Drosophila melanogaster: one gene and its partners. The protein of the gene in region 1 interacts with the protein of each later gene in a pairwise test. Each region holds a gene or a part of one and is shown in the gene's direction. Other genes may lie near its edges. The genes, in order: CG7945, fest, CG3527 and rb.

Region 1 (6,788 bases):
AAGAGTTGCGCACATTATATCTTCTGCAACGGCGATGAGTCATACGATGGTGAATGCGAGGATGGCGAATACTTTAGTCAAGATATGGAAATGTGTGAGCCCATGGGCGATATCGACTGTCGCACGGGATCGGAGGTGCAAAGGGAAAACACTACCGACAGCTCCTCAACGGAGATTACCTCGGAGTCCAGTACGATTTCCACAGTTGTAATCACCACATTAGCCCCATCGGCAGTGGTCACATTACGACCATCAGTCAATCAAAGTGGAGCCAGCAGTACGACTTCCGTATCGCCTGCTATAGAGATTATTGTGACCAATGTGTGCCCACAACTGGATAATCAGAGTCGTATCGCATTGCTGCCAAATCAGAACTCCTGTTCAGATTATTACATTTGCTATCGCGGTGTGGCACTTCCCATGAGTTGTGCCACCAGTTTGCACTTTAATTCACTCACCGGAAAATGCGATCATCCCGAAAACGTTAGGTGTTTGGTGGGTTAACCTATGGTACTTCATATCTTATAATTTTTGTATAATAAATTATTTATTTACAGGCCATGACTTATAATCCCAGGGAGCAGTGCAAGCGACATGTAATCGATGTTTATCCGCATTCCGACAACTGCAATTACTTTTACCAGTGTCGCTCTGGCTATTTGATGGTCCAGCAGTGTCCTTTCTTCTACGGATGGGACTACGAGAAGCGATCCTGTGTAGCACTAGGTCAAGCCAAATGCTACAACAAGCTGCAAATGCAAATGAAAATTTATTAAATACACATAATAATATTTATTAAAAAAAAAAAACGAAATTTTACATTTAGTTAATTAACGAGCTTTGTGGAAAAATTGAAAATATTGAACATAAAGTGTTGTATGTTTACATATGGAATAAACCTAAATACTGGTAATCAATAAGACTTCTTTGTAAAACTATCAAGCAACACGGCCGACCTTGACTCTTTCCTAAATTTATCAGGTGATATCAAGCAATTCTTTCATATCTCTGCAAAATGAAGACCTTGAATCGAAACATTTGCCAAAATAGGCCAACCTTCGATTTGAAACATAGTAATTTGACCGATATGATACGATTTTCCTCACAAGGACAACATATGTCATCGTGATATCACCTAATCAATTTCCTAGCTAATCTCGGCTTCCTTTTCACCAGACTTTAAAATTAAAAATCCAGCATTAAAGTTGTATCTGCTTGCCATTTCGAGATACGATATCGATTGATTGCGAGGAAAGGGAGCCATATTTCTTTTTTGGCAAAACAAAATACAGGAGTCTTATCAACTTCTTCCTACAAGCAATTGAAAATGTTAATTTTCTGATACTGAGCCACATATGCGGCTGTATCTTGGCGCCGAATGTATCACATATATGCCAAGTTCACCGGGCATTACGAAATTAGAATATAACTGCGCTCTACTGGAGTCTGACGATAGAAAAAACGATGATGCTTAATACGGGTTAGTAAGATGGATATTCTCAAAACTAATAGTATGATGAGAATTTATTGGTTTCCAGCTTTCTATTTGATCGTGAACTGCTTGCTGGCCACAGCGCAATTAACCTGGAGACCATCGAAGCCCACAAACTCGGTGACCATCAGGCAGAGTGGTAGTAGAATATGTGCCAATCATTTGGTTGGTGAGTTTGTGGAGCATGCGGAGGACTGCCACATGTTTTACCTGTGCGTTGAGAACGGGGATGCAGTCCTGGCTTCCTGCCCACCAACGATGCTCTTCAATTCGGAGAGCAGACTCTGCGATTCGGCGACAAATGTAAAGTGCAGAAATGAAACGGATCCCATAGAGACTCCTCCATTCGATGGCGGAAATGGTGATGGAGATCCGAATAACATGGTCACGGATGCCGCCACTTATTGCTCCACGTTGGTGGAGCAACAACAATCCAGCGACAGGATTGTATATGTCGGCAGCTCGAGTAGTTGCAGAAAGTACTATATTTGCTACTATGGACAGGCGATCTTGCAGGAGTGCAGCTCGCAATTGCACTGGAATGCAATGACGGGTAAATGCGATATTCCGGAGAGAGCCCAGTGCACCGTAGGTGGTCAGGAGGATATGCCAACGAATGGAAATTCCGGTTTCCCATCCGGTGGCACCGCCATTTCGAGTGATCTCATTCACTGCCCCGCCTACGGACAGCATCTGTATCCCCATATGCAGCGATGCGAGTTCTTTATCTACTGCGTCAAAGGACACGCCAGCCTGCAGCAATGTCCTTTCTATTACTTCTTCGATATTGCCACCAAAAGTTGTCAATGGTCGCGCACGGCTCAGTGTGTGCGAGATTTAAATTTGGCACCACTAATAAAATAGAAGTTTTAATATATGTAGCATACAATTTTTTGAACTTTGGGAGATACCAAATGCTTTTAGAGAGGTTTCTTTTAAAAGTACTACTACTTTTAAAACTCCCGCCGATTACAGATGAAAACCAGAACTAATGTGTGTACACACTAACTTTCGACAACAATGTTCGATGAATCGGTTTCGATAAAGTTGACTATATGGCCACTGTTCTTTTTTGCGGTAGTCAGACACGGTCATACAAATCCCACAATATAATGTTAAATTAATCATATTTATACTTATCTTCATTTAAGTAAAGCGAAATATTCGATTGACCCTCGAAGTAAACAACCCAGGTGCTCAAAAATGAAGCTAACAAAGTTAGATTAATCGGTGTCTACGAATTATCTGGAAACACAAGCATTTCCCGTCATCTAACTCAAACTGCCCAACTCGAAAAATCAACAATATTTTTGCATCGGGCCAAAGGTGCATTAAAACCGGAGCCTCAAGTCTCGGGCGGCAGGTAATTTATTCAAGTTCAAAACAGCCACCCGGGGATTCTCCTAGACATCGGTTGCCACAAGAAAAGAAGAAGAATTAGGCGTAATCTTCTAGAAAATTGGTGATTTCAGCCGAGAATGTTTGAGAATTTTCGAGGTATTTTTCGGAAACGGCGTCGCTGCGAGTCGGACACAACACCGCCGCCACCGCCGCCGCAACCCGCCCAGGAGGCGGAGATAATAAACCGATATCCGGAAGATATAGAAGCCGATACGCCCGAGTCCAATGATGGCTTTGACGCCTCCTGGACCGAAGGCTCTTTTCACAGCCCACATTCAGATAGGTAATTGAATTCTGCGCATTCACGCTTCCTCTTCTCTCTTATTGCAGCTTCAAAGCAAAAACAGATAAAATTAAGCTTAAGCAACAGCATCAAACACTTCGACACCCACTCGAAAAAAAAAGCTTAAGACATTCCAAAAAAAGTAGCCAGCAAAGCGGCTAAAAAAAAATAAATAAGATAAAACCAAAACCCAAAACGAAACAGTAGGCAGCTATCCAACCATCTTGGGTGACAAACACTTGACCGGCTTTTTGGAGGGCGACAGGTTTAAATCAAATCTGGAGCAGCCGCAGGATATGGAAGTTGATGCGCCAACAACGCAGGAAACCAGTGACACTCATCATCATCACCATAGTACTTATCACCAGCAGCTGCATCAGATCTCGCCCAGCGATTACCACTCGGAGGCATCCATGAATTTTGATCATTTGCAAGACCTGAGGGCCGATGCCATGGCCTCCTCATCCCCATCCGGATCCGGAGGTGGTGGCAATGGCGGGAACAGCTCCTACGGACTCGTCGACGATAGTAGAGCTCTGGACAGGTTGTTATTCCATCATAACTAAAACCAAATCAGACACGAAACCAAAACAATACCACCGATTATATTCACACAACCTCGTAGCGAAACAAAAGTTATACGTTTCTTATCTATTATTTCTTCACACTACCAGCTACCAGCTTCATTCGAATCTTTTGTTCCATAATAGTAATGGTGATAGCTTAAAGTATCTGCCGCGAACGCCCACACAACTCTCAAAAGAGCTTTGTGTGCGAGCGCCTTTTCTTGTAGACATATTCTGGTTATAATTTCGTAGCTCTATAAGTGGTCAGTCGATCTGTAGCAGAGCGATCTAACAATCTAACGTTGCTTGTCTCGTTTCATGACTTAACCACTGAACCGCAATCACACTTAACCGACATGTGACAGACCATTTAACGCCAGCGAGAGGTAAATCTTGAATTTATAATAACCACTGAGCGTGACTAACCTTTGAGTGACTCGCAGATTTGTCACCATACTGGATAGTTTGGATGCACGTGTGGAGAAGCTGCGCAAGGATGCACTCAACCTGCAGGAGAAGAAAGACTACCTTCTGATGTCCATGGATCTGATCAAGAGCAACGAAATGATGCAGAACATGAGCGAAGGTAAGTGACAGTGATTCTTAAAACTAATTTGAACCCTCATTGTTCATAGCTTTACTAAAATGTGTATTATTTCGAAGTCGGAAGTAATGGTTTCTGATGACAAACTAAGTAAAGGGTTATTCATAGTTGACTGTGAGCTAATGTTGTACCACCTTCTTTTGCAGCTGAACGAGAGGAGATCATTTTGTACCTACAACGGGTGAGCTCTCGCTTGGCCACCGTGGAGCTGCGTGTGCGCACTGTTCGGGACAACTCTCAGGAGGATTCCCTTAGCCAGATAAATGTATTGATTGACAGCATGATCAAGATGGGTGATCCCGTGATCGGACGCCAACGATGCCAGTTTTACTTAAACGCCTGCTGCAGCAGCTCAATGGATCCATCCGGACACATGGACACCGTGCCCGAGGCCGATGTTGGGCCGGTCGACAAGAAGTTCGAGAGCGTTTTGCTTGGCTGCACTCTGGACGATCAGAAGAACATCAAGAAGCGGCTCCAGGCCTTAATGGCTTATCTGAATAAGCAAACTGTTAGCCATTAATTAAATTGTTTTTTGGTCTATTAACTATTCATAGCATTATTATCAAACCAAACGAAATACATCACCAAGCTAGATGAAACGAATAATAAAGAAAGCAGCATATACACCAGGCCAGCAGTGTTTGAATCAAGTAAAATATAATTTTAATATTTATATTAACAAACTAAATGTTATAAGCTAGGAAAGCACATGTCCTTCGCATTCAAGACCCGATCACTTAGGACCCATAATGCATCATTGGAGGTGAAGAAAATCTGCTGAATGTTCTTCGATGTGATATATATGATTTCGTTGCCCTCGGCTGTGATGTTGGCTAGTTTGGCACATCGTACGACAGCTCCGAATTTGGGGATAACATAGTACAATGTTCCGAAATTGTCGATGATCATGCTGCGACTGCTGCCCAGAAGACTGCCCAAATGTGTGAGTTTAATGCTATTGTTAATTGGTTTGCTTGCTAATTCGCTTTTGCCTTCAATTTCCAGTCTGTCCACCGTACTGTATAGATCACCATCCTGGTCGGAGAGTATGAGTTCCCCTTGAATTCCGAAGATGAAATCCACTGGCTTGATGGGAAACGATTGATTCATATTCTCGTACTTATTGCTCTCCAAGGATAGGCGGTGCCACGTCTGCTCCAGGATGTCGTAGGCTAGAATTTCTGGTACCTTTCCAAGGATGAAGTAAATATGGCGCTCGTGCTCGCATCCCGGACTCTTGGGTCCCATTTGGACAGTCAGAAAGTGGGTGTCATTAGCACCTATATGGTGTCCACAATCGATTCTCAATAGCTCCGCGTTGTTACGCATCAGATCGAAGACAAACAAACGGGGTGAGCACGTGCTGCCGGGAAATCCGATGTCCATGACCCACAGTCGACTCAGTGCATCCACCTGGGACCAGTGTGCCTGTTGTACCAGAGAGCAATCATCATGATCCCCCATGGAATGAACATCGATGTGGGGAAAGACGACAGTGGGCATGGGAAAATAGGAAACCGGCCATTGCGCCTCGATCAAAGTGGGCGCATCGTTGCTTTCTACATTTACGCTGAGAAACACTCGCGAAAAGTGCATCGATAGATGACGGACTTTGTAGCTGGATTCGTTTAAACCAGATTCGGATAACAGCCAGGCGTCCGTGGCCAGAATTAGACCAACAATGAGAAATCCCAAGCCGAGGACACCATGTGTGACCATCTTTAAACGCGAATTCAGACTGAGCTTAGGGCTAGAGAACTCTGCTTACGTTGTAAGTGCCCGTTCAAGAAGTCCACCAAAGTGTCTACATCAGCAGTTGGGATCGGGTGTCGCCGAATATATCGGCGACCTGCATTAATGGGGACCAGCATTGGAGTGTTTCTCTATTCACTTGTGGTCCCAAAAAAAAAAAGCTTACCAATTTCAATCGGAGAATATCGAAATCATGACACAGTTTCCTCTTAAAATTACCCAAAATTGGATTGTTATATTTTTCAAAATAAATCAAAGTTAAAACCAACAAAATGGTTGTTTTGTACCACCATAATAACCTATAATAAATAAATCATAATAAGGCTATTTTTGTCGAACTTTAGCGATATTGATAAGGTTCCTGTGAACTGAACCTACCTTAAGTGCTTAGTTTTAACATAACCTTAATGTTAACGAGTATTTCTTCGCGTAAAAGTACAAAAAAACCCTATCATATCTTTACAGCCATTATAAAGATTGCTTATAGATGACTGATTTCACTTGGGAATTGCCAAAAAGCTAAAGTGAACCCCCGAGGAATCAATTAATGTTGTTTAGCTTTCAGTTTTTAGTACATTCGTATTTTTTTAAGTATTAAAATTATTTAATCACACGAATAAACATTAAGAAATATTTTATTCTGGAAACTTTCTTCGTTATAGAGCATTTATCGTTGTAAAAAAAATA
Region 2 (8,337 bases), on another chromosome or scaffold:
GAAGAGCCGATGACGTCAAACGGCGGCAGTTGGCCGTTGGCAGTCGGCAGACTTTTGGCTCAGACCACCAATTGACCAACCTTTCAATCTGTTTTCATATAATTTTTTATTTTTTTGTTTTTTTGGGCACGCGTAGGTGGTGGCTTCTTCGTCTCCAGGAAATCCCTGTGAATCACCTTGCAGGGGGCCGAGGTGGGGGCACGGGACTTAAGGGGATTGTGTAAACAGAAAAGTCACCAAGGAATTCGACGCGGCCAGAATAATGCCGGGAATGCCAAAATATTGATGGAAGTCAAGCCGAGAGGCTTTTAGCGTCGCGTGCCTGTCGGTTGAGATCCGTAAATGTATGTGCATCGGATTCGGAATATCTGTATATATATATATATATATATATATATATATATATATAGTGGGTGAGTGTAATTCCATAGCTGACAGCGGGGCGGCATTATCATCTAGAGGCGACAACAAAGATCTCCCGCTGAATGACCAGACACATTTATTTGTTTACACAGCTCGGTTGCCGTTGCCTCATCTTGACAATCAATTAATTTCCATCCCGTCCCATCCCAACCGATTCCAACCCAGTCCATTCAATTCCCGAGCACCTCCTGCCCCCCAGTAGAAACTGAAGGGGCTGGTATTGTCGACAAAGGCAAGTGGCGTCGTTGGCGCTAATTGTTTTTAATGAAAATTGCTAAGGATTTAATAAGGAAGAAGGCGCTGAACAAATGGATTTTAAAAGCCATTTCAATTATGCCATAAGTTTCTCATCAATCTGAGTGGTCACCACTACCACTGGCACTGCCACTCACGCGAACGGTGACGTCAAAGATTGCAACACTGGCCAAGTCGGAGTCCTATGCACTTTCTATATATAGCCGCTACACTAGTATGGATTTTATGATCTTTGTCTGCGCCAAAGTTCACTGACTGCAGAAGGCGAAAATAGTTTTCCACATTTTAACGAGCTTCGGCAAGTAATAGCGAATTTTCTCTATTCATTTGGCTGATGTTCTCCTTTTAGTTTTCATATCAAATGTGCCTTTGCCTTTACAAAACGAGCGTAATTACAACTTGAATTCAAAATTTAGCAAACTATTCCAACGACGCTCGCTGAAAATCTGAATTTTCAGCTGTCTGAATATTTGCGAATATTTTTAACGATAAATACTGAAAAAGGAGGTTAACCAATTTGTTTCACTTGCGGCTGGCGAAAGTGACAACGGAAAAATCACTTCGGTGGACGGGGTGATTTTTACAAATGAGTTTCCGTATTTCATTGAATGCATATGCGATTGCATTCCTGCTATAAATATATTACACATTTTCACTTTCAGTTGGTGTTGCTCAAAACTGAGTCAATGCGATGCGTGGGCGGAATTGCAGCTGCAGTGGCTGAATTTTAATGATCCGACCAAGTGCCAAAAATAAAATTTAAAAAATATGCCAGCCAAGTGTCTAAATAAACGCGTCCATTTAAATAGATATGATGGCGAAAGTGTCAATCTAAATCTGCGTGGGCCGATGGCCAAATGCAAGGAGTCAATGCGCTCATTAAACAAACTAATCCGCGCAAGAAAAAACTGAAATCAAGAGGCAAAATCAATCATGAGAGCGGAAAGAGTTGACAGTCGTATACAAAAAACACAATAGTTCCGGAAGTTCAGGGACTTTGCACACTGAAGGTGAGTTAGTGAACCCACAAAAATGGAAATAAAACGACCTTGGGGGTTTGCCAAAATTGTGGCTAATATGTCAACATTCAGGCAAATAAAATGGCTAATAACTGACAAGAAAAACGATTGAGCAGCTATTACTAAAATATATTATGATTTTAGTGTTTATTCATTAAGAAATAATCCAAAAATTTGTAGCTGTTCGACTGGAAAGTTCTATAAGAGCAGTTTACATTTCGCAGAAACTTTAAATGCCAGTTCTTATTTAATATGTCAATTTAAAAGTTTCAGTTGAATGTATAATACATTTAAATTGCGTGATTGTTTGACTTTGACAACATATTTAAGCCACGTTAAAGCAACAATTTAGAAGGGGATAGCTTTTTATTAGCAAAGTACTAAACTGTGCTACGTGCAAACATCACTTTTATCTGACTCTTGACATTTCCTGCCAACGCTTCAAAACTTTGCAACTCTGCGCACTTGTTCAGCATTTAACCAGCATCGATAAGAATGACGGCACTTTCTCTTGCACTTTCTCCCGTTCGGAAAATGCAGTTTCCCAATAAATCTTAAAGCCTAAGTCTTTTGCTGCAGCTTATAGCTGCGTAGAAACTATACAAATGAGCGGCAATAAATTGCTGGAAGCTGCACTGCTGTGCGTGTGTTCAAGTCTATTTCTCGATTCAATTACGAAGGCGAAACTTCGTTTTCCGGCCACTAAAAGCGAGGAGATGGGTTGCACTACAGTGTCGTCCTTAAATGCGTTATTTTGAATTCAATCAGCTTTTTGCCGTCTAAAAGTATGCAGCACTAATCGGATATACGTTGAACTTTCACGGGAAATCTAAAAGTGCCAGGGCTTCAAAGGGACGAAGGGAAAAGTAAAGTATCGTGTACTCGATATTACGACACTTTCAACTATCGAAAAACCCGGTAGGCCAGTGAGTGTCAGAATTGATGGCACATCCTTCCATCGGCACTTGAGGCAAGTCATTCTTTCGAAAATTGTCGCAGCGAGCAGTGCTCTTGAAAAGTCATAAAAAGTAAAAAATTAAATTCCTCTCATTGAGTCGTTGTGTTCCGTGTCGAGCAGAGTACTTTGATTTTCGCTGTCCAGCACGCCGCGTGTGCCGTTCTCGTTTAGATCCACATACCAAAGTCCAGGCCCCGTTTCAACCAAGAACAACAACACCATCATCCATCACCCATTCGATTCCATACGGTTTTCCCATAAATTTTGAACAATCGAATCTTGACAAAATGGTTACCGACGCCCAGGACACCGTTGCACCTAAGACCAGCAGCACCAAGGAGGTGCAGTGCCAGCACTCCGGCGCCCTGGATGAGCCCCATGTCGAGGAGCTGGCTCTACCGGGCCCCGCCCCCTTGGCCACGCCCAAGAGCGGCCGCGTTGGCATCTTCAATGCCGAGGACTTCTTGTCCCGCGCCCAGTTGAACGACAAGATCAATAACATCTTGCGCTCGCCCACCAAGGCTCCAAATGGTGTGCGCCAGCGTTCCGTATTCACCAACAACAACCCATCGCCGGTGAGTAGAGTTGTCACTTCTCCATAGGATTGCCTTCATTTTGAAGGCATATGCAAAAAATCGTCTCTTTGATTTTTGCAAGTCATTTTTGCAAGTCATATTTTCTTAGCATTTTTTGCAAGTCATCTTTTCTTCCCATTTTTTGCAAGTGATCTTTGATGTACCATGTGATACCTTTTCCCTTACCAATCCCTAGCAAGCCACCATGCGCTTTGTGTCATCGATGAACAGCCCATTGGCTCCACGTATGAGCAGCCTTTCGCTGACTGGCGGAGTGAAGCGCGGCTTGGAGCGCGGCAACAGCAGCAGCAGCATGGGCAACAGCGCCAGCGTGGGCACCAGCACCTCCGTCCTGGCCAAGGAGTGCTCCAGCCAGACAAACAGCTGCGGCCGCAGCTACATGAATATGGGCATGCACGCATCTTCCCACTCGGGCTTCGGAGTCCTGCCGCAATCTGGTGCCGGCTACGAGACCATGGGCTGGAACATGGATGCCGGCAATATTACGCGCAGCGGCAAGAGTCTAACGGGACGCTTCAACTCTGGCTATGGCTATGAGGTGGATGGAGCCTACTGCATGGTAAGTGCTTTGATTTATTGCCCCGTGTTTCGTATTTTAGAAATATGCGATATCTACCTAGCCACAGGCACATCACACCCAGCAGTTCCCATCGCCAATGCCACCACCACCTTTTGCTATGGATCGCGTCAGCTCGCGCACTTTTGAGTTCGAGAACAACACACCACCACCGTGTCCAGGATCTGGACCGATTGCCATGTCCAATGGCACCATCCAGTTGCGCCTGCGCGAGGGCGTTCGGTAAGTGAACGTGGTAGGAGATTTATCCCTTGATCATCATTCCAAATCATTCCCGATTCCAGCATTGACATGACCCTGGACAAGGCTGTCCGTGTGCTGAATCAGCGCAGCATGGTTGCCGCCGCCTTATCGCGCAACTGCAGCAACTCTGCCCTCATCCATCCCAATGGGCGCATCTTGCAGAGCGGCTCCAAGGTGGAGATCGTCACCTACGACGGAATGAAGGCCAACAACTTTGTGTAAGCTTAGAAGTAGAATCGAACCTTTACTTTAAGAGTGGCAAACAACTAGTATTTTGGAATTTAAACTTGTACTTCTCATTAGATTTTCGTATAAAATCTATGCAACTATAGCTGCAATCATTTTCTTCCAGTCGCTATGCCAAAATGTGGTACAAGGGCGTTAGCTTCACCAGCGAGTCCTGTGCCCTCATCTATCTGGTGGACACAGCTGGCACTCGCACCACCACCGATACCTTCACCGACCTGACCAAGGACTACACCTTGGCGGTGTTCTATGAGTGAGTTAAGCACGAAATTTGCCCAAATCAATTCGCCAAGCTCCTCTTTCCAATTAACAACACCCTCCAGCGATTCGCGCCACGGCCCATCCTTTGTGTCCGATGCCCACGACGTAATCGCCAACTCCACCTACAATTGCGCCGAGGACGGCACCGAGGTGTATGACATCAATGGATTCCGCATCACCCAGGCGGCCGACGGCCTGGTCAAGGTCAGCCGCCAGCACAGCAAGTGCCTGATTCGCACCAGTCCGGGCAATGGATCCGCCACCCTGACCACCACCGGCATCCACTGCACGGCTTCGTTGGGCAAGACCTCGCACCTGTTCGTCCGGTGAGTTGGCCACTGCATCCACACCTATTTGCAATAATGATGCACTCGAAGAATGCATTGTTCTCGTCGTATATTTATTCGATTATAACACTGATAGTGTTTAATTGATTCCATACTTTTGCAGTAATTCAGTTAATCGGATATTTGAAGATTCCTTTTGTTCTTTTTTTTTTTGCAGTCGTAATGAGAAGCGCATGCACTTCGACGGATCCTGTTTCATTGTACGCAATGCTGGTCACTCGGCTGGATTCAATGAAAACAACCTGCTCATTGTCTACTAAGTACCGCTCGCACCATGGGATGTGCATCGCGTTGGGTGGCCATCCAAATGCCACCTATAGCCACCCAGCGTGGGCAATCGAAAATCACCCCATTATACCACCACCACACACACATCACAGAAAACACACACACGCAAACCGACTCAAGCGTCGATATAGTGACCCCCCCAAAAAAAAAAATCAAAAAATCCAAACAAAACAACATTGGAAAACTGGGGCCTCGGCGTGGAGAGGGATCAGATCATTTAAGAAAACCTGGTCTTCTAAACAAAAAAAATTATAAATGTATAACTGCATTTAAGATGAAACAGCTCGAAAAAATGCGCGAGCAACGAAAACTGGCGATCCTGATCCTTGAAGGATTGCTTTTCGATTGCTCGACGTAGGCGCAACGCAAACACTAGGGAATTAGTTTTAGATAATCACACTTACAATCTCTCTAGCCCTCGATATCCTTGTTTTTATACGCATACCGTTATTTAGTACAGGCAATTCAGGTGGAATAGGCTCTGGAAAATCCACCTGTTGCCTGAAACGCTGGCCAAGACAATGCTATTTCGATCAGGGCCAGCGTTTGGTGTTATAAAAAGAATGAACTTGGTTCGCGTTTCGCTTCTTTTCGGCCCTCACAGTATAGCAAAATTAAGTTTCCAACGATTTTTTAAACGTTCGACACGTACTTGAAATGCAACAAATTCAGCAAGATTGAAAATCGAAAGTTGCAAAATTTCCACAAAAAAAAAAAAATAAGCAAAAATTGATAAAATCGCTGATATCAAAATTAGCCTCTGCATGATAAAAAATTAGCTAACAAACGACGGCTGCTTTGGCCAACGTAACACCAGTGACAATTCAGTTAGTTCTAAGTTACCAGTTAAGATTAGTTAAGTTACTACAATCCAACCATGTTCATCCTCACACAACACACACACACTCTACAGCGCAAACGTTGCGTAAAATGTAAAATGAGTGGACTTAGTGCTTAAATTTCCAAGTGTAGACGGAATAGTACCACTACCACACTCGTGGAATACAGATACACGCACACATGCACAAGCACACACACACACACACACACACGACAGGCCAAAGTGAGAAATTGTGACTGAAATGGAATACAATTAATTAGCTTACGAAACAAACGCTTATCTGAAAAAGGCAGTCGTCTTTGAAAACAAAGTTAAAACACGTGCACACTTTTAAACACCATTCCTTAAAAAAAAAAAAGTGAAACGCCTTGCAATTATACCTGTGTAGCCTTACAACAACAATCTTCAAAACTCTAAATTTAATCCTCATGTATATCGAAATTTATGTGCACAAAAATCGATGTCAAAAAGTAATACATGAAAGTCCTGAATAAAGTAAATTCTATCTGCGCTACTGTAATAGATTCGTATAATTTTGTTAATTCTCATGGGTTAAATCTGGATCGAGATACAATTTTCAGCGGCTCCTGGCAACCATATATGACCTCATACCTTTCCTCTGGCATTGTAAAAGTACAAGAAAATTGCTTAACGACTACAATTCACATTACAACCCTGTTGGAGGAGTTGTGGCACCTGAAGGGCCATCAGGACTTGAAATCTTTTCGGGCTTAAAGAGTTTGCGAGCTATGTAAATATTTAAAGGAATGAATTGCACGTTTAAAAGTAATTGAATGTTTGCCAAAAAAGGTTTTCATATACAAATATTATAAAAGATGAGAGGTCTTCATGTTTACCTGCAAACAAATCCAAAAGCACAACGATATGGGATCGGCAGTCATGCAGACCAAGCTCTCCAACAGACTTAACCTGGAGTTGGAGCCGGAGGAGCGGCCCGTTGGCAGTGGCTGTTGATAGAGATTAGTGGATAATGCTGGGGCGGAACTATATGCCACGGCTGACTCTGTCATAGGAAGAAAGTGGTTCCATGGTTAGCGGGTACACAGAGAGAAATGGCGGGTGAGCGTAAGCGAGGCGGTGAGCATGGGCAGGTGCGGAAGCCACAAGGCAAGGATACTCAAGCGGCGGTGATGGTGAGTGTCTCCAGCTCAGGCGGATACAAACATCTAAAAATGCGTTTACTCTAGTGCTGCGTATTAAATAAAGTCGCTAACCGAACCCAGCAACCCGAACCCGGCTGAATCCTGAATCCGAGGTTATGTGGCTCAGCAGCTAGGGAGCCATAAAGGGCGAGACCCACACACACACATATGGCATATTCAATGCTCACGCTTGCGTGACTTGGTCGGAAAAATCCGTTGGATGGGAACGGGGGGCGTATACGGTGCCATTTGCCTCTCGCACCCGTGCTCAACATCAAACGCTTTTCACACTTAATTGGGCGTAAAATTAAATCAGAATTGATTAAAACACTTGAATGACAGCAGCAGTCGAAGCCAGAGCTCCGGTGCTATATGGTCCCGAATTTGAGAACCCGGCCAAAAAGTCTAAGCATAAACAAACTTTTTGGTTCCCATTTTTCCAGCTGACGCATGGCACGTAGCATCTCATCTGACCGAGTTTTCCACCCAAAACCCCAAACTCAAGCCCAAGCCACCCCCACCCCACTCCTCACCACCCATCGACATCCTCTCAAAAAGGACTAATTGCTGCCTAGAAACTCCTCTCTTCTTCCGCCTTTTGCCTTTAGAAAGTTTATCAAATTCAATTTCCGACAAAAGTTGGAATGGGCTGGATAGGCAAGACATCAATTTTTATATTTTACCATTTAATGGGCTCTTCAATTATGCGAGTCTCGCTCCACCGGTATTACGTTCACATTAATACAAATTCAATGAGGCTTAATTCCTGGCCATAAATCGTCGCATGGATTCGTTTCACCTGTCTTCTTCTGTGGTCATGCAGCAAATCAATTCGATTTCCGTCGAAATGAAAGAGCCATCGCATTGCAACACTGCAACTGCCGACGATAATTGCATTTTAACCGATTTACCCAGGAAAATCCCAAAACTGAACAGACGGCAGACAGTAAAGGATACACCCATTCGTACTGCGTGAAAATTCAGCTTCGTTTAATTTAATGGGAAACGAATGGCCCACGGGGGGTAAATGAAAAATTATGAATATTTACCCCTGCGGATAAGAGGCTTAAATTCAACCGGCAAGATAAACGCAAAATACATACGAATTTGAGTAACTCCA
Region 3 (5,583 bases), on another chromosome or scaffold:
TATTTTCGTTTGGCTTAGTGTGCCCGCCGGCGGGCAGCAAATATATGCCGACAAATACACACAGTACAGTTGTTGCGAAAAATACCAGAATTTAGGCAATGTATTTTTGCGGCATTTCCAAATAATTGTTTGTATTCAAAAAAAAAAATAAACTCTTCATACAAGTAGAAAATCTGTAACTTTAAAATGAAGAAAAGCATCTTCATTTAATTCAATAAACGATTCTCAACTAAGCAAATGTGTTTTTGGAGGTTTTTCGAAAATTAAAATATACCAAATGCATATACGTAATATCTAGTGGACAAACAATACCACACTGTTGGCCAAAATGTCGTTGACTTCGCAATTTGTTGCGAATTTGAAACGCTTTCGCCTGGTGACCTTCGATGTAACGGACACGCTGCTTCGCCTGGAGGATCCCCTTCGCCAGTACCATCAGACGGCAGAGGAGTTCGGGGTCACCGGAGTGGATCGCCGCCGATTGGAACAATGCTTTCGCCAGCAATTCAAGGCGATGAGCAGCGAACATCCAAACTTTGGCCGTTACTCGCCGGGATTGGATTGGCAGCGTTGGTGGCTTCAGCTGGTGGCTCGAACCTTTAGCTGCGTGGACCACGGTCTGGCGCCCGAGAAGCTGGAGAAGATCGGCCAGCGGCTAATTTCCGTTTTTCGGACCAGCGCCTGTTGGAGTCACGTGAATGGTGCCCAGGAGTTGGTGCAGAACGTCCGAAATGCCGGCAAATGTGTGGGCATCATCTCCAATTTCGATTCGTCACTGCCACAAGTCCTGGACGCCATGGGCTTTGCCGGCAAATTCGATTTCATTCTGACTTCCTACGAAGCCGGTGTTATGAAGCCCGAACGCGGTATCTTCGAAATTCCGCTGCAGAGATTGCAAATTCCAGCGGAGCAGGCCCTTCACATTGGCAACAAGTTGGATATGGACTATGAAGGTGCCCGGAATTGCGGCTGGAGCGGTTTGCTTGTGAGCAACGCTGACAATCCCCATTCTTTTGCCAGTCTTTCCAGTCTGTTGGAGGCCTTAAAAACCCAACCAATCCGATGGTAATCCACCAAAGAAACTCCTCTCGGGAACCTGCAGTTCTTCGATTGGATAATGGCTGTTGTTATTTTTGTAGATTTCCTTTTTTTTTTGCATTAAGATAACATAACTGAATGTAAAACTAGTGGTAAATATAAATACGCGATCTTAATGATATTTTTTTGGGAAATTCGAGGTAGGAGGTTTTGGACAAATATAAAACATAATATAACAAATATAAAAATAAGCTGTCTGAAAACAGAAATAAACAAAAGAGTTCTTAGTTGAATACAATTCAAAGCTTATTTCTTATCGAATGTGAAAAAGTCGTTGTTTAAATATTCATTAAAAGATATTATTAATTAAAGTGACATAACGATGCTGTATTATGCATCGAAAGAACCTCCTCCTTTCGAACATTTCCGTGTATAAAGCCTGATAAAACTATACCTGAAAACTTATCCTATACACACACACACACACACTCGCACACGTCTCTTGCACACATACCTAAATACTAATTAAGAACAGATTAATCGTACAAGCTATTTTGTGACCAAAAATATTTGGTTGCTTTGTGAAGGGAATGTGCCAGTCCATCTGTTTGTAATGGCAATCATTACTATGTAGCCTTTGTCGCCTTCGCAGGCATTTGGGCCTTGGCCGCCTTAAGCTGCTCCAAATTGAACTGTTTCCGGATTTCGGTGGACACCTGGCGAATGACCGCATCCGTATTGGCCTTTAGATCCCGTTCCAGCACATCAATGTCCACATCCTTGCTCTCCAATCGCATTTGCATGTCCGAATAGAAGTCACAAAACAACACCGGTTCATCTGAACCATTCGGCGTCCTCGTGCTGCAGTATTGACCCCTTCGATGGAGATCATCGTTGTTGGTTTTGGCGTCCAGGCCAAGCAGACGTCTCGCTCCCAATGGCAGCTGCTGTTGGATCAATCTCTCGTGATTCTGAGAGATGTGATGCTTCAGCTTCTTGAACTCCTTCACCTCGTTCTGCATGTACTTCACATAGCTATACATCTTGGAGGTTTTCTTCGTTAGGTTCTCTAGGCAACTTATAAAGTTTCGCACCTGCTGTGTTCTCGGCAATGTGCTGGGATCCAGTCGCTCGGCTTCGTCGAAGTGCTGCAGTGATCGATTAAAGTCGTGTTTCATGGCCAGTGCAGAGGCCAGGACCACATGATTCTCGGCCACATTAGGAGCATGTTCCACCGCAGCGGTCAATATCAGATCGGCATCGGCCAGTCGACCCATTCGAAAGAGTATGGTACCCAGACTCAGCAGGGGTATATCCTTAAAGATCGGCGGAGCCAGCAAGGCAGCCAATCTGGCACAGGGCAGGGCTTCCCGGGCATTTCCTCGCATGCGCCAATAGTACGAGCTTAGGGTGTGGAACTTCCAGGAGGCCGGATGATGCTGCAATCCGTCCACCGCAAATCGCCGGGTCAATTCCACGGTGGCCATGCCCACATTGGTGTCATGCTCGCGCTCCAGAAAGGCAGCGGCCAGGACCTCGGGCCGAAAACTCTCCAGATGATCATAGGTGGCTGGACCCACGCTTAATCGATGGTAATCGCTGCATATCGGCTCCATTCCCATCGAGGATGCGCTCTTCTGTATGTGCAATTGCCTCTGGTCCGGAAGATTAATCCTTTTCAACTGCTCTGGCGTAATTTTCAGGTAAGACATTCGCTTCTCCAGCATGTAGTAGTCCATGGCGCACTTGGCCTGCTCGGCCAGATCCTCACCGAAACGCATCGAAAATCGTAGGTGCTCCACAATCTGTTCCCGCTTGCGCAGCAGATCCAGATAGGAGCGCTCCACATACTCACTGTACCTGATCTGCTTGAGAAATGCCGCCAGATTGTGGGGTTCACGCATGTGGAATGGAGAGTCCAGTTTGGGCACGATCTGCTCCTCGCGAAGAACCCAATGATTGCAGGCCTGGATCAGGTGAAAAAGGCCAAGCAGCACGGCGAACGCCAGCGGGCACAGGCGCATCTTGTAGGATTGCAAAACCAGGAGGACGACAAGGATCCGGTAATCCAAATGCAAACAAAAAATAAACAAACTCGCCGTCGTGTGACCAGACCCAAGCAAATGCATTCGTTGTTTTTAATACTGAAAAACATATGCCATACTATTTAAGTTGGGTATTTAAGGGAGCCCGCAACAAGGTCATACTGAACTTGTGCATTTCGAAAAACGTGCGGATTTCTTAAGAATAATTTCGGAATTGTTTTTAACCATATACAACTACTTTTACGATATGGGCGGTCAGGGCAAGGCGATCAATAGGAAGCGTAAGTTTGTCGGTCGCAAGGCGGACGATCCGGAGTTCGATCTGGACAAGAAGCAATTCAAGGTGCTCCATCTGAATGCCACCGAAAAGCGGCTGATCATCGTTTTGGAAGGAGCCCAACTGGAGACGGTGAAGGTGGGTCATCATCCTTCCATACATATATATATATATATATAAATACATATTTCCATTGCTGCAGGTGCACAACACTTTCGAGCTGCTGAACTGCGACGATCACGCGGGAATTATGCGCAAAAACCAAAGAGATCCCGGCTCCTGTCGTCCGGACATCACCCACCAGTGCCTGTTGATGCTCTTCGATTCGCCACTGAACCGGGCCGGTCTGCTTCAGGTCTTTGTGCGCACCGAGCATAATGTGCTTATCGAAATCAATCCCCAGACGCGCATCCCGAGGACATTTAAACGCTTTGCTGGCCTAATGGTGCAATTGCTGCACAAGTTCCAAATTCGCGCCAATGACTCCTCACGTCGTCTGATGAGTGTCATTAAGAATCCGATTACGGATCATGTGCCGGTCGGTTGCAAGAAGTACGCCATGAGCTTCTCTGGCAAACTATTGCCCAATTGCCGGGATCTGGTGCCACATGGTGACGAGACGTCGGCCAGCTATGATGAGCCGGTGGTCATCGTTATTGGAGCCTTCGCACATGGCGTTCTCAAAACGGACTACACGGAGGAGCTGTTCTCCATTAGCAACTATCCACTTTCGGCGGCCATCGCGTGCTCCAAAATCTGTTCCGCCTTCGAGGAGGTTTGGGGCGTGGTATAATCCAAGTCCAAAGCATTGTTTTTCTTAGTTTAGTCATAGCTAGTAGTTAGTCTACATATTATTCTTTTGATTGCCTTCCATTAAAATTTGGTGGAATATCCAGACCAGAATACTATTTTCATCTTTCTTAAAGTTTAGAACATACAAAGACGCTTATATATATAGTTATAATATAATCTGGGATCCTAATTAATCATCACGAAACACACGCACTTTCTCTGTTTTTACAATTAGTTGGTTTATTTATGTTAATTGCAGTTACAAAAGATAGGCTTAGAAAACTTGCATAATTTTGAAGGTATGTTTGCGGTAATTTATGCTTAACTAATTGCACTGTTCATCAAAAGGATTATTGCGAATTTTGTATACGTTGCACGATTGAGAGCTCTATTAAATCCCACATGGGAAAGGGAAGGTTTCAAAAGGGATGGATTATCTACTTGGCACCCGGCTTTTTGGTGCCCACATCGGCTGCCTTCTTTTCCGCCTCCCGCTTGGCGGCCGCCTCCTCGCGCTGCTGCCGGATCAAAGCCAATCTGGCCAGATCGGCCTTAGCCTCGGTGGTTTTACCAGCAGCATGGAGTTTCTCGTAACGCTGGCGCGCTCTCTGCTTTTCGATCTGTTCGCGTTCGCGGCGAGAAAGCTCCGGCTTGGGATTACCGCCGGCACCGGCTGGCCCGTCGTCCAGCTTGATGGCCGATAGCTTTTGTGTGGCCTTCTTGGTCACCCGGTTGGGATTCTCGATTTCGATGAGTGAGGCCACGCCCTTCTTGGCATCGCGCGCTTCCGCTTCGGAGTCATCGTCGGAATCCTCGCCAGACTCCGATTCCGAGGAACTTGCCGCACCGGCGCCCGCCGCTGATCGAGACTTTTGATTGCGATTCACGGGCGCTTTACGTGTGGCGGGTGCCTTGGCTTTGGACGCAGAGGAACTGGCTTTGCCGCCGGCAGCGTCTTTATCGTCGCTATCTGATCCCGAGCCGCTGGTCTGGTCGCTATCCTCCTCCGATTCCTGTTGCAGTTCCTCGGGAGATGTGAAATGGCGACTGCGACCTTTGTGGTTGACGAACTTTCCTCGTGGCATGATGATTTATGGACTGATCCTTACGGTTTCCCGGGTATTCGCAGGTCTCTCCTCCTGTATGTCCGATGTGCTTGTATCTAGAGCTTTTACTCTGGCTACGTTAACGGATTCTTACGGTCCGTTTATGTTTCGAAAATTATCTATATTTAATCACGTTGTAAAAAATTTTTTTGCACTATTCACAGTGTTGTACAGTGCCGGTCAAAAGTGCGCCCGTGCATTCACTGCATAGTAATACCGCATAAATAACACGAATGGTAATACCGTATCACGCCTGGCGCCCTCAAGTGTTCAAGTTTGCTGTACTCGGTAATTAACCGCTTCCATAACCGTTTCAAAACAAAGC
Region 4 (9,677 bases), on another chromosome or scaffold:
GTTTGTCTCCGGGATTTCGGACCGAATTGCGAATGCGAATGCCACCCTGGGGATGTTTGTCCACGGGAATGATGGCTCCGTCATGCAAGCTGCCCACACATGCCAAATGAAACCATGAGAAGTGTACCACTCCGATGTGGCTTAGTCGTTCTCCAAGTGCCCGCAATCGTCCCTCAAAAGATTCAAGGAAGGTGCGCTCCTGCTGTCTAGCTGCCTTCCAAACGCCCAGTCCGATGCCGACCACATGGATATAGGCGGGCTTACCAGCCTTAAATGCTCTGTCCTGTGCCTCCAAGAGCAGGGTGTCGAAACTGATGGCATATCGCTTGCGCATTACCTGGTGATCGAAGATGCCCTGAGAAACCTCTTCGAAACGCGTAGTATCATACGGAGTGTCGGCGTAAATGAAGTCCCTGGGCTCCTCGTAGAACTCGCGCCAGATTCTGCGCAAATCTGATGCAGGTGTGACCGTCTCGCTGGATATCTGTTCCAAATCGAAACCGTAGCCATTGGCCTCAGTATTTTGGGTTTTAGTAATCATGATATCCTGGTACTCCATCACATCGGGACGCTCGAAACGAGCTCCAATTAGTCCAATCACAACGCCCTCCCGTTCGATAGTGTCCTTATTCTGCAGCACCTCACCCCCATTGACCCTACTGCCATTGTTAATGAACTCCGAGTGGCAGGACACGTAGAGCAGGGCGGACAGCTTGATCTCGTCGTAGCTGAGCACCGAGGTCAAAGTGAGGGGTTCCTTTTCGGCGGGCGTACCCACTGCCTCGAAGCCCTCGTTACCAATATTTCCCTGCATTGTACGGTAATAGTCGTTAGCGCCAAAGAACCACACACATCTCTTCGCCAGCAGGCGCTGCACAAGGTCAACCACAGTCATGTCCTTGTAGATGGCCTTCTCCTGCTCGCTGCCTGTAAAACGATGACCAGAAAATATAAATTCTTTCGATTGTGATTGTACCCACCGAACGTGAGCTTGTGCTCTAAGAAGCTGATAAAGAGTAGGAGGGTCCGTTCGTGAATCACCGGATAGGCGGATGCGATTTGTTCCCGTATGCGGTCACTTCGATCTTCCGGCTGTGCCTTCACTCGGCAGGAATCGATGCCAAACTAATGTGGGGGGATTATATCAATGTCAGAAGACAATTTTGCGAAACCAATTCCAATGAGTATACCTCGGCGGGAGACTGCTCCGAAATAGCTTTGAAATTATCGAGATCCACCGAAGCGTCCGGCTTTGCCATTTGGCCACATTCTTGAAGCATCCGCTGAGTGAAAGCATTTTCCGGCAGATTTGTACGTTTACCAGGCCATATGATAATAGATTTTCCGCACAAACATGCCAATTTGGGACGTTGGGAGAGCATATAAAGAAAAGATCTCATCGCACTTTTTGGAGTCACTTTTAGGAGTCCGGACAAAAAAGTTCGCCGCTGATAGGAATATATGTCAACTGTCACTGGACGATCCAGTGCTGCACACCGACGTCAGATTTAATAACTTATTTCCACTGTCACATTAACTACCCAACACTCAAAAAGATTTGAAACGAATTTAATATAGCTTCTGAAAAGTTGTTTTATTTCCATTCAGATATTTCGAAATTATTATAGAATCCATTTCCATTTCGAAGTTGCAAACAAACTTTTCTCTTGTCAACCTACATTTATTAGAAAACAAATGGTTCTTATCAATTTAGTTCGAAAGTTCACAAGTGTCTCTTCCCCCCTTGAATGTGTGTCTGAAAATATTTGCTGTTCTGTTTCCATTAAGAGATATTTGGTAATTAAAAAAAAATATATATATTAATTTCTCTAATATAGCAATCTCTGTTAATAATTCTCGAAACAGAAACATGATCGACATACTTTCAAGCACTAATTACTTTTTACAAGGTATTTTATTTAAATTACAAAAGGATGTTAATCATTTAAATTAAATCTGAGACTGCAACGCATTGCGCACACATTTCCCCCAGAGCTTCGTGTGCCGCCTTCCTTTGCTACTTCCATCCTGGTTTTCCGCTCGGGATTACACGACGCGCTTGACCTCGAAGAAGCGTTTCAGGTAGTACACCTGGCCCACTGTCATCAGGACCAGGACGAGGGCTTCGAAGGTGGACCACAGCACCACTCGCGAGTTGGTGTTCTCGTTCACCGAACGATGGATCTTGTCGCGCACCTGAGGGAGTAAAGAAATTGGAGGATTAGTCGTGGATTACTTCACAAATAATGTCAATACTGATTATAACCGATGGTGAAAACATGAGTGTTTGAAAATCGCTACTAGTTATTGTTTATGTGGCAGCTAGCAGCTCCATTCCCTCGAACAAGTCTACCGACTCCGCTCTTAAATCTTGCGACGTGGATCTGTACAAGTAATGCTGGAGGCATGCCAGACTATGTGGCAATAGTTACTCGATTGCTCCCATATTCCATGTACCCCTAATTCTGCTACATGTTAAACTCTTCCAAAACCCCCAATCATGATTATGTGGCAGCTGGATGCTCCATCTTCACCTCGTCTCTTCACTCACATGCATGTACTCCTGTTCGTGCTTGACACTGGTCAGCGTGCCGGAGAGCTCCCGAATCATGTCCTCCAGCTTGGTGTGGCCCACCTCCTCCTCGCCGGGTGCTCCGGGCGCACGTTGCGGTGCGTCACCCACGTCGATGGAGAACATGACCAGCTTGGGGGTCATGCTGCTGCGTTCGTTGTTGAAGCACACGGTGTAGGTTCCCTTGGCGGGGGCCACAAAGGTGTACTTGCCGGACGACTCCTTTTCGCTCTCGTGCATCACATGGTTATCCGGGCCGCTGATCTTGATGTCCACGTCTAGGAAGCCACCGTCGATCACCTCGAAGGTGACGCCTGTAAAGTCACCATCATTTTATCAGCATAGATCCCTTGTCAATTGACCGAAAATCCATATCGCTCACGTACCAAACTTGGTGCCGCCTTCGACGTTCTCGAAGAAGCACTCCTCATTGTGGGCGTCCACGCTGACGATGAAGGCGTGGCTGGTGCGGCACAGGATCAGCAGGCTGCCCACAAGGAGCAGCACCTTGGCGAGTGTCGATTCCATCGTTTGTCTTAGTACTTTTGGCCTGGTTTTAATCGCTATTAAACGCACTGCAGCCACGTAGTTGTAGTCGATTCGATATACTCCGATAGATGTAGACAAATAGGGCATATCGAAGAACAGCAGTTTCCGATAGATTCGGCATCGATAGGTGCACGCGACACGCGATACCGAATTTTTAACGGATCACTACAAAAAACTCACAACTCATAAAAATTCAAAAGCAACATGAATGCCGCGAAATGTTTCGGTTAAAGTATTGGATATCGTAACTAATACATTACTTTATTTATGTGCGTACCTATATGAAAAACTCTTGGTGCATTCCATCACAGTTAGTTAAAGTGTTCTAGTATTTTTGTGCTATGTGTTAATCGGCGACTATCGACAGTTGCCCACCATTAGGAAACAGAAAGCTAAAAAAAAAAATGCAAAAATTGGCCAGAATTTCGGCATAAATAATAGTATCCCTTGCAAAACTTGCAAGCTGCGTGGCAGGACGAGCAGCTGACCACCAGATCGTCTTGAGGATTCAACATCAGGAACAAAGGTTTCACATTGGACGCATTTGCAAAAACCGAAAGGGAAAACTGCCAACTCCCACACACAAAAAAAAAGGAAAAAAAAAATCATCAGCACGGAAAGTAAAAGGTCAAGTGGTCAACCGAAATCTGGGTAATCCGGGGGAATCTTTGCAAGAATGCAGCAGAACTCGGCCAGCAATCCCTTCGCCATGTCCACATATGTGGAGCGGCCCCAAATGGGACTGGACGTCGAATTCGGAGCGGATCCTGCCAGCGGAGCAGCTTTCTTCCAATCCGATGGACGCAAGCATGATGATCTCAAGCAAATGTTGGACAGCAACAAGGATGGACTAAAGCTGGAGGCCATGAAGCGCATCATTGGCATGATTGCCCGCGGACGGGATGCCAGTGATCTGTTCCCGGCAGTCGTCAAGAATGTGGTGTCCAAGAATATCGAGGTCAAGAAGTTGGTCTACGTCTATTTGGTGCGATACGCCGAGGAGCAGCAGGACTTGGCCCTGCTATCCATTTCCACATTTCAGAGGGCGCTCAAGGATCCCAATCAACTTATTCGCGCCTCGGCTCTGCGAGTGTTATCCTCCATAAGGGTCAGCATGATTGTGCCAATCGTAATGCTGGCCATTCGGGATAGCGCCGCCGATTTGAGTCCATATGTGCGGAAAACAGCGGCACATGCCATCCCCAAGTTGTATTCTCTGGACGCGGATCAAAAGGATGAACTGGTCATGGTCATTGAGAAGCTTTTATCGGATCGCACTACTCTAGTGGTGGGATCAGCGGTGATGGCCTTCGACGAGGTGGGTCTGCAGCTAAAGTAAAACATTTATCCTCTATATACGACGGATCTTTATTCGTAGGTTTGTCCGGAACGTGTAGATTTGATACACAAGAACTACCGCAAGCTGTGCAATTTCCTGCTGGATGTGGACGAATGGGGTCAGGTGATCATCATTAATATGTTGACCCGCTATGCGCGCACTCAGTTCGTTGATCCCAATGCGGATGATGAGGATCTGGTCAACGATGGCCTGGGCGAAACGCCCGTTAGTGAACGCTTCTACGACGAATCCTCGCACTCCTCTTCCCACAGCGATGATGGCAGTAGCGATGACGAAAAAAACAAGTCGAGTACGAACAATAAAAACAATGGCGGAGGAAATGGCAGTAGAACACCCAGTTCTCCGAGCAACAGCTACCACATCGATGTGGATCACCGCCTGCTGTTGAGGCAAACGAAACCATTGCTCCAATCGCGAAATGCCTCCGTGGTGATGGCAGTGGCGCAGCTCTATCATCATGTGGCTCCCAAGAACGAAGTGCAATTGATTGCCAAGGCGCTGATACGACTGCTGCGATCGCATAAGGAGGTTCAGAGCGTGGTCCTCAATTGCATTGCCTCGATGTCCACCAAACGAAAGGCGATCTTTGAGCCGCACCTCAAGTCGTTCTTTGTGCGCACCAGCGATCCCACGCACATAAAGCTTCTCAAGCTGGATATTCTCACCAATCTGGCCTCGGCGGGCAGTATTTCGCTCATTCTGCGCGAATTTCAAACCTACATCTCCAGCAGCGATCGTTCGTTTGTGGCGGCCACGATTCAGGCCATTGGACGATGTGCATCTAGCATTAAGGAGGTTACCGAGACCTGCTTGAGTGGCCTGGTTCATCTGCTGTCCAATCATGACGGTGCGTTAAGCTTTCTTTTAGCCATTTGTATTTTAATTTTATAAGTATTCCGTTATTCCATTTAGAACACGTGGTGGCCGAGAGCGTGGTGGTGATTAAGCGTCTTCTGCAAACGAAAGCCGCCGAGCACTTTGAGATTATCACCCAAATGGCCAAACTGATCGATTATATCAATGTGCCCGCAGCTAGGGCAGCCATCATTTGGCTTATAGGCGAATACAACGAGAAGGTGCCGCTGATTGCCCCGGATGTGCTGCGCAAAATGGCCAAATCGTTTGTCGATGAGCAGGATGTGGTGAAGCTGCAGGTCCTAAACTTAGGCGTTAAGCTCTATCTGACCAATCCGGAGCAGACATCGTTGCTGTGTCAGTACGTCTTTACGCTGGCTCGCTATGATCCCAACTACGATGTACGCGATCGTGCCCGTTTTCTGCGGCAAATCATCTTTCCGGCGAGCGGAACGAGCTCGGTGCTCAGCCAGCATGCCCGCCAAGTATTTCTCGCCAGCAAACCGGCTCCGGTGCCGGAGAGTAAATACCGGGATGGCAATAACTTCCAGTTAGGATCGTTGTCTCACTACCTGAACATGCCAGCGGCTGGCTACAAGGAACTGCCCGCCTTTCCGGTGATTCCACCGGATTCATCGGTACGCAATATAGCTGGATTTATGCAGGACAAGCTGCCGGGTGAAGACTCGCCATCCGGACATTCAAAGGATAAATCCGGCCGTGAAGGCGGTAAGGAAAAGGGTGCTGGTGGCGAGAAGGGCTTCCTCTCTGAGTCGGACGACAAGTCTTCCGCTTACTCGGAATCAGGCAGCAGCAGTGGCAGTGGCACCAGCGACAGTGAATCCGATAGCGATGGCAGCGGGAGCAGCGATGAGGAGGAGGAGGAGGTGCAAAAGCAGCAGCCGACCAAGGTTTCCTCGGTGAAGGAGCGGCTTATCGATGCTGGAAGCAATGAGCTGGCCGCTACTTCTTCGCCTGTAAAAGCAACTATAAACAACAATAACAATGCGAGAGGTTCGTCAGGAACATCGGACAGCGAGGATTCATCAGCGTACAGTGGCAGTAGTAGTGATGACAGCGCTTCCGGTAGCGATAATGAAGTGAAAAAGAACGAAACGAAAACGGACACAGGCACAAAGCCGGAGAAGTTGAAAGAGAAGCACGAGAAACAGCCGGAGCAAACGGCTGTCAAGAGCAATCTGGACCTGCTACTCGATCTGGATGACATTCCGCCCATTGGTCCCGTGATGACGCCCTCGTTGGGAGGATTCCTGACGCCTGGTAAGGTGATGCGCATCTCTAAATTGGCCTCTTTATATAATAATTCTTCAATAGGCACACCAATGATGGCTGGACAGGCGGCGCCACTGCAGCCGCAGCACGCCCGCAATCGGGTGGAATTGGTGGGTCCCTCGCACATCGAGTTCAAGCACAAGGAGCTGCTTAACAAGGTCAGTGGCCATGGACTGCATTTGGCCTACCGTTTCACCCGCTCCCCGCATCTGTACTCCTCGAGCATGTGCTCCATTGAGCTGCAGTTCCAGAATCGTGGCGAAAAAGAGATTACGGCCATTCGTCTCGGGCAAACAACTCTGCCGGCGGGCATGCAATTGAATGAGTTTGCGCCAATCACTGTTCTCCAGCCCCAACAAACAGCGAGTGGTGTGCTGGGCGTCGATTTCAATGATTCGACGCATGCTGTAGACCTGGAGCTTCTGTCAAGTGCGGGCAGTTCACGACTGCAATTGAAACCGCCGGTGGGCGAGCTGGTGAGATCCGTCCAGATCGGCGAGAGCTGTCATCGCGAGGAGCGGGCCAAGCTGCGTGGAATGAATGAGCATCAGTGCGAGTTGCGTGGCCTGAGGCAGGACCTAATCGATGTGGTCGCATTGCGGCAAAAGGTTTTCGAGTCCATCAACGTGGCGCATACGCACAGCTCTTCCAGCGGTCAGCTACACTGTTTCGCCGGCCAAACCCTGAGCTCCAAAAGCCTCGTGCTACTCACCCTCGATTGGAAAACAGAGGATGCCCTCACGCTGCTGGTAAACTGCGAGAAAATGGTCATTGGATCCATGGTGCTCAACGAGCTGCGCAATGCTCTGCAGCTCAGTTTCGCCATGTGAGCGATGGACACGAAAGCGAACAAGACGAAAGCGAGCAGCGAACTAACTTGAGGAGTGGAATCCCCTGGAGCAGGGCTACTCAACTGAGAATAAGGCAAAGCCGCCTCACTACGTAAACATAGCATTCATATTTAGCTATACACTTGTAAACGGGCGGGGAGAACGTAATCTTTGAAATTAGCTGATAACATTAGCTGAGATTACAGGTGTTTTAAATTCCATTTTCGAGAGATTATATGTAAATGTGCAGTGTAACAGATGCAACTTAAGTGTTCAAGTGGGATCGAAATCCAAAACTAATTTAAATTGCAATTTCAACTGTAATTATTACATATTCTTTAACTTGTTGAAAACTGAATGAAAAGTGATGCAAACTATTGTGTAAATGCTACAAAACTATATTTATTGTTATACACATTCGCAAATTCTTAATGAAACTTATTGAAATGGGAAACACACAACTTCCTATATATTTGTATCCGCTTATACTGAGATATTTTGCATAAAAGAGTCACCATTTCCTTTTATGAATGGATGAACACAACATGAGATTAGTGTAGCTTTCATATCCAAATCGAAAATTATTCAAGGATTACCAACCGCCCCGCCCAAATATAAATGAAACATGATCCTAACGCTTTTAATATTCCTATATACAAACTGCAACCACAAACAATTCCAGATGAAATGAGATGTTACAATTGATTGAACTCGAATCGTTGCCGATCCAAACAAATCCTATCCTCCAATCCATCCTACTTAGCTAGGCGTGTGTGTAATGTGTGTATGAGTAATCGAAACGTATTTGTAAAGTGTTTGATGTTGTAAATCTGTTGCCTTCGTGCTCTATGCGGCCTTCTTCAAAACGTAGCAAAGACAAACGAATATCGAATCTATATATTATATATTATATTCATACAATAAACAGCGCAAATTCTGGCAAATTAAAGTGAACAAATGAAACGTATTCTAATAAAGAAACAAATCAATCTGTTAATATGCCTGAAACAAATAAGCTGAATCTCCGCATTGAAAAGCTGAAATAAAAGCTTACATTTTAAAATTGAGAACGTCTTACCTGTTTTGGATAAACGAATCAAGTTTAATACACGCTCGCACATGTCAAGTAAAAATGCTTTTTTCAAAAGTTTTCAATTATTTTGATGTTTATTCACGCTTGTTCTTGTTACTTTCTCCACTCACCAAACAGAATATAAGAAGTCAGCAAGGACAAACTTTCAAATGCAAAAGAATCGAATCGAATTCTAATTAGTTCAATTCCTTAAAATTCGAGTTGATTTCTGCATTTATGTATCAATTTCCTGCTGCTGTCGCTTGAAAGTCGGGATTGCTTCAAAATAGCTCCGTGGGAAATTATAGAAGGAGGTTGGACATACTGACATGCTGGGTTATAGAACATACATAACTCATTCCTCAAATCCTACGCTGCTTTCTCCAAATCCAACTGTGTTTTAGGTGTCGGTGTCGGTGTAGTTGTAGCTGTATTTCCTTGTGTTCTAATTTGGGTTCTGCACAATTAAAAAGCTCAATTTCATGCTTATCAATATAAACGAGTTAGTTAGATCGCTAGGTTAGTAATGTTTAGTTTAGTTTTGGATTCGCTGCTGCACTTAAAGATCTCAAGTAGTAGTTTTAGTAGTTGTAGTTTTCGGTTAGGCTAGGCTTTAAGATCAACGGCTTGAAAGTTCCGAGTGATAAGTGAAGAAATATAGGGTTTTGGGGATGCTATATAATGTATGATTAGGGGATAGATAGCATGTATGTATGTACGAATAGTACGAGTATGTACGTATGCATTAATGTAATTTTTGGGTAATATGGCATGGGTATATGTATGCTGTAATAATGGGTTGTGAGTAGTTCTTGACAGGCATATAGTAGAGCGTTTGTATATAGTGTCCTGGGGTAGTATCGTTCTCTTCTCGTTTTCGCTATTCTGTATACACGTTATATAATATGCCACGGCCTTCGTTCGCTTAACTTCATATAAAACTAGTTTTTTTTTTACCATTTTTTTTTTGTTTTGTTTAGTTTTCTTTCTTTTAAATGTATATGCAAGATGTATATATCGATTTATGCAGTATGTGTGTATGTCTAAGGATGATTTTCAATCACTTATTGTTACGTACGGTGTTTGGTATAACATGCTTCGCTTGGACTAGCCCGATGGCCTCTTTCTCCACCTCTCCCGTTTTGT

Evidence for each region.
Region 2: the proteins of CG7945 (region 1) and fest interact in a two-hybrid assay, tested with the Drosophila melanogaster proteins (one large-scale study listed by BioGRID).
Region 3: the proteins of CG7945 (region 1) and CG3527 interact in a two-hybrid assay, tested with the Drosophila melanogaster proteins (one large-scale study listed by BioGRID).
Region 4: the proteins of CG7945 (region 1) and rb interact in a two-hybrid assay, tested with the Drosophila melanogaster proteins (one large-scale study listed by BioGRID).

What each region holds. Positions count from the first base shown.
Region 1 is NT_037436.4:15,519,900-15,526,687, reverse strand, and holds CG7945 (uncharacterized protein), read left to right. Parts: upstream 1-2,550; 5' UTR 2,551-2,855; exon of another isoform or gene 2,856-2,970; coding exon of another isoform or gene 2,971-3,176; intron 3,177-3,223; 5' UTR 3,224-3,472; coding exon 3,473-3,720; intron 3,721-4,107; coding exon 4,108-4,128; intron 4,129-4,185; coding exon 4,186-4,328; intron 4,329-4,492; coding exon 4,493-4,869; 3' UTR 4,870-4,977; downstream 4,978-6,788. Other genes in the region: CG33985 (uncharacterized protein), read left to right, coding at 1-495, 558-776; CG33986 (uncharacterized protein), read left to right, coding at 1,465-1,480, 1,539-2,356; yellow-k, read right to left, coding at 5,040-6,068.
Region 2 is NT_033778.4:19,339,142-19,347,478, forward strand, and holds fest (wurstfest), read left to right. Parts: upstream 1-2,667; 5' UTR 2,668-2,942; coding exon 2,943-3,230; intron 3,231-3,426; coding exon 3,427-3,810; intron 3,811-3,871; coding exon 3,872-4,050; intron 4,051-4,112; coding exon 4,113-4,289; intron 4,290-4,423; coding exon 4,424-4,570; intron 4,571-4,640; coding exon 4,641-4,904; intron 4,905-5,082; coding exon 5,083-5,185; 3' UTR 5,186-6,613; downstream 6,614-8,337. Other genes in the region: Rgk1 (Rad, Gem/Kir family member 1), read right to left, coding at 6,912-6,956.
Region 3 is NC_004354.4:4,548,746-4,554,328, forward strand, and holds CG3527 (uncharacterized protein), read left to right. Parts: upstream 1-3,227; 5' UTR 3,228-3,330; coding exon 3,331-3,498; intron 3,499-3,562; coding exon 3,563-4,153; 3' UTR 4,154-4,261; downstream 4,262-5,583. Other genes in the region: CG15912 (uncharacterized protein), read left to right, coding at 329-1,069; CG11436 (uncharacterized protein), read right to left, coding at 1,665-3,062; CG11444 (uncharacterized protein), read right to left, coding at 4,590-5,237. UniProt on the Drosophila melanogaster protein: S-adenosyl-L-methionine-dependent pseudouridine N(1)-methyltransferase that methylates a pseudouridine in 18S rRNA.
Region 4 is NC_004354.4:4,534,426-4,544,102, reverse strand, and holds rb (ruby), read left to right. Parts: upstream 1-3,476; 5' UTR 3,477-3,797; coding exon 3,798-4,439; intron 4,440-4,499; coding exon 4,500-5,328; intron 5,329-5,393; coding exon 5,394-6,617; intron 6,618-6,671; coding exon 6,672-7,459; 3' UTR 7,460-8,468; downstream 8,469-9,677. Other genes in the region: CG3568 (uncharacterized protein), read right to left, coding at 1-927, 981-1,125, 1,191-1,400; CHOp24, read right to left, coding at 2,047-2,196, 2,552-2,886, 2,959-3,100.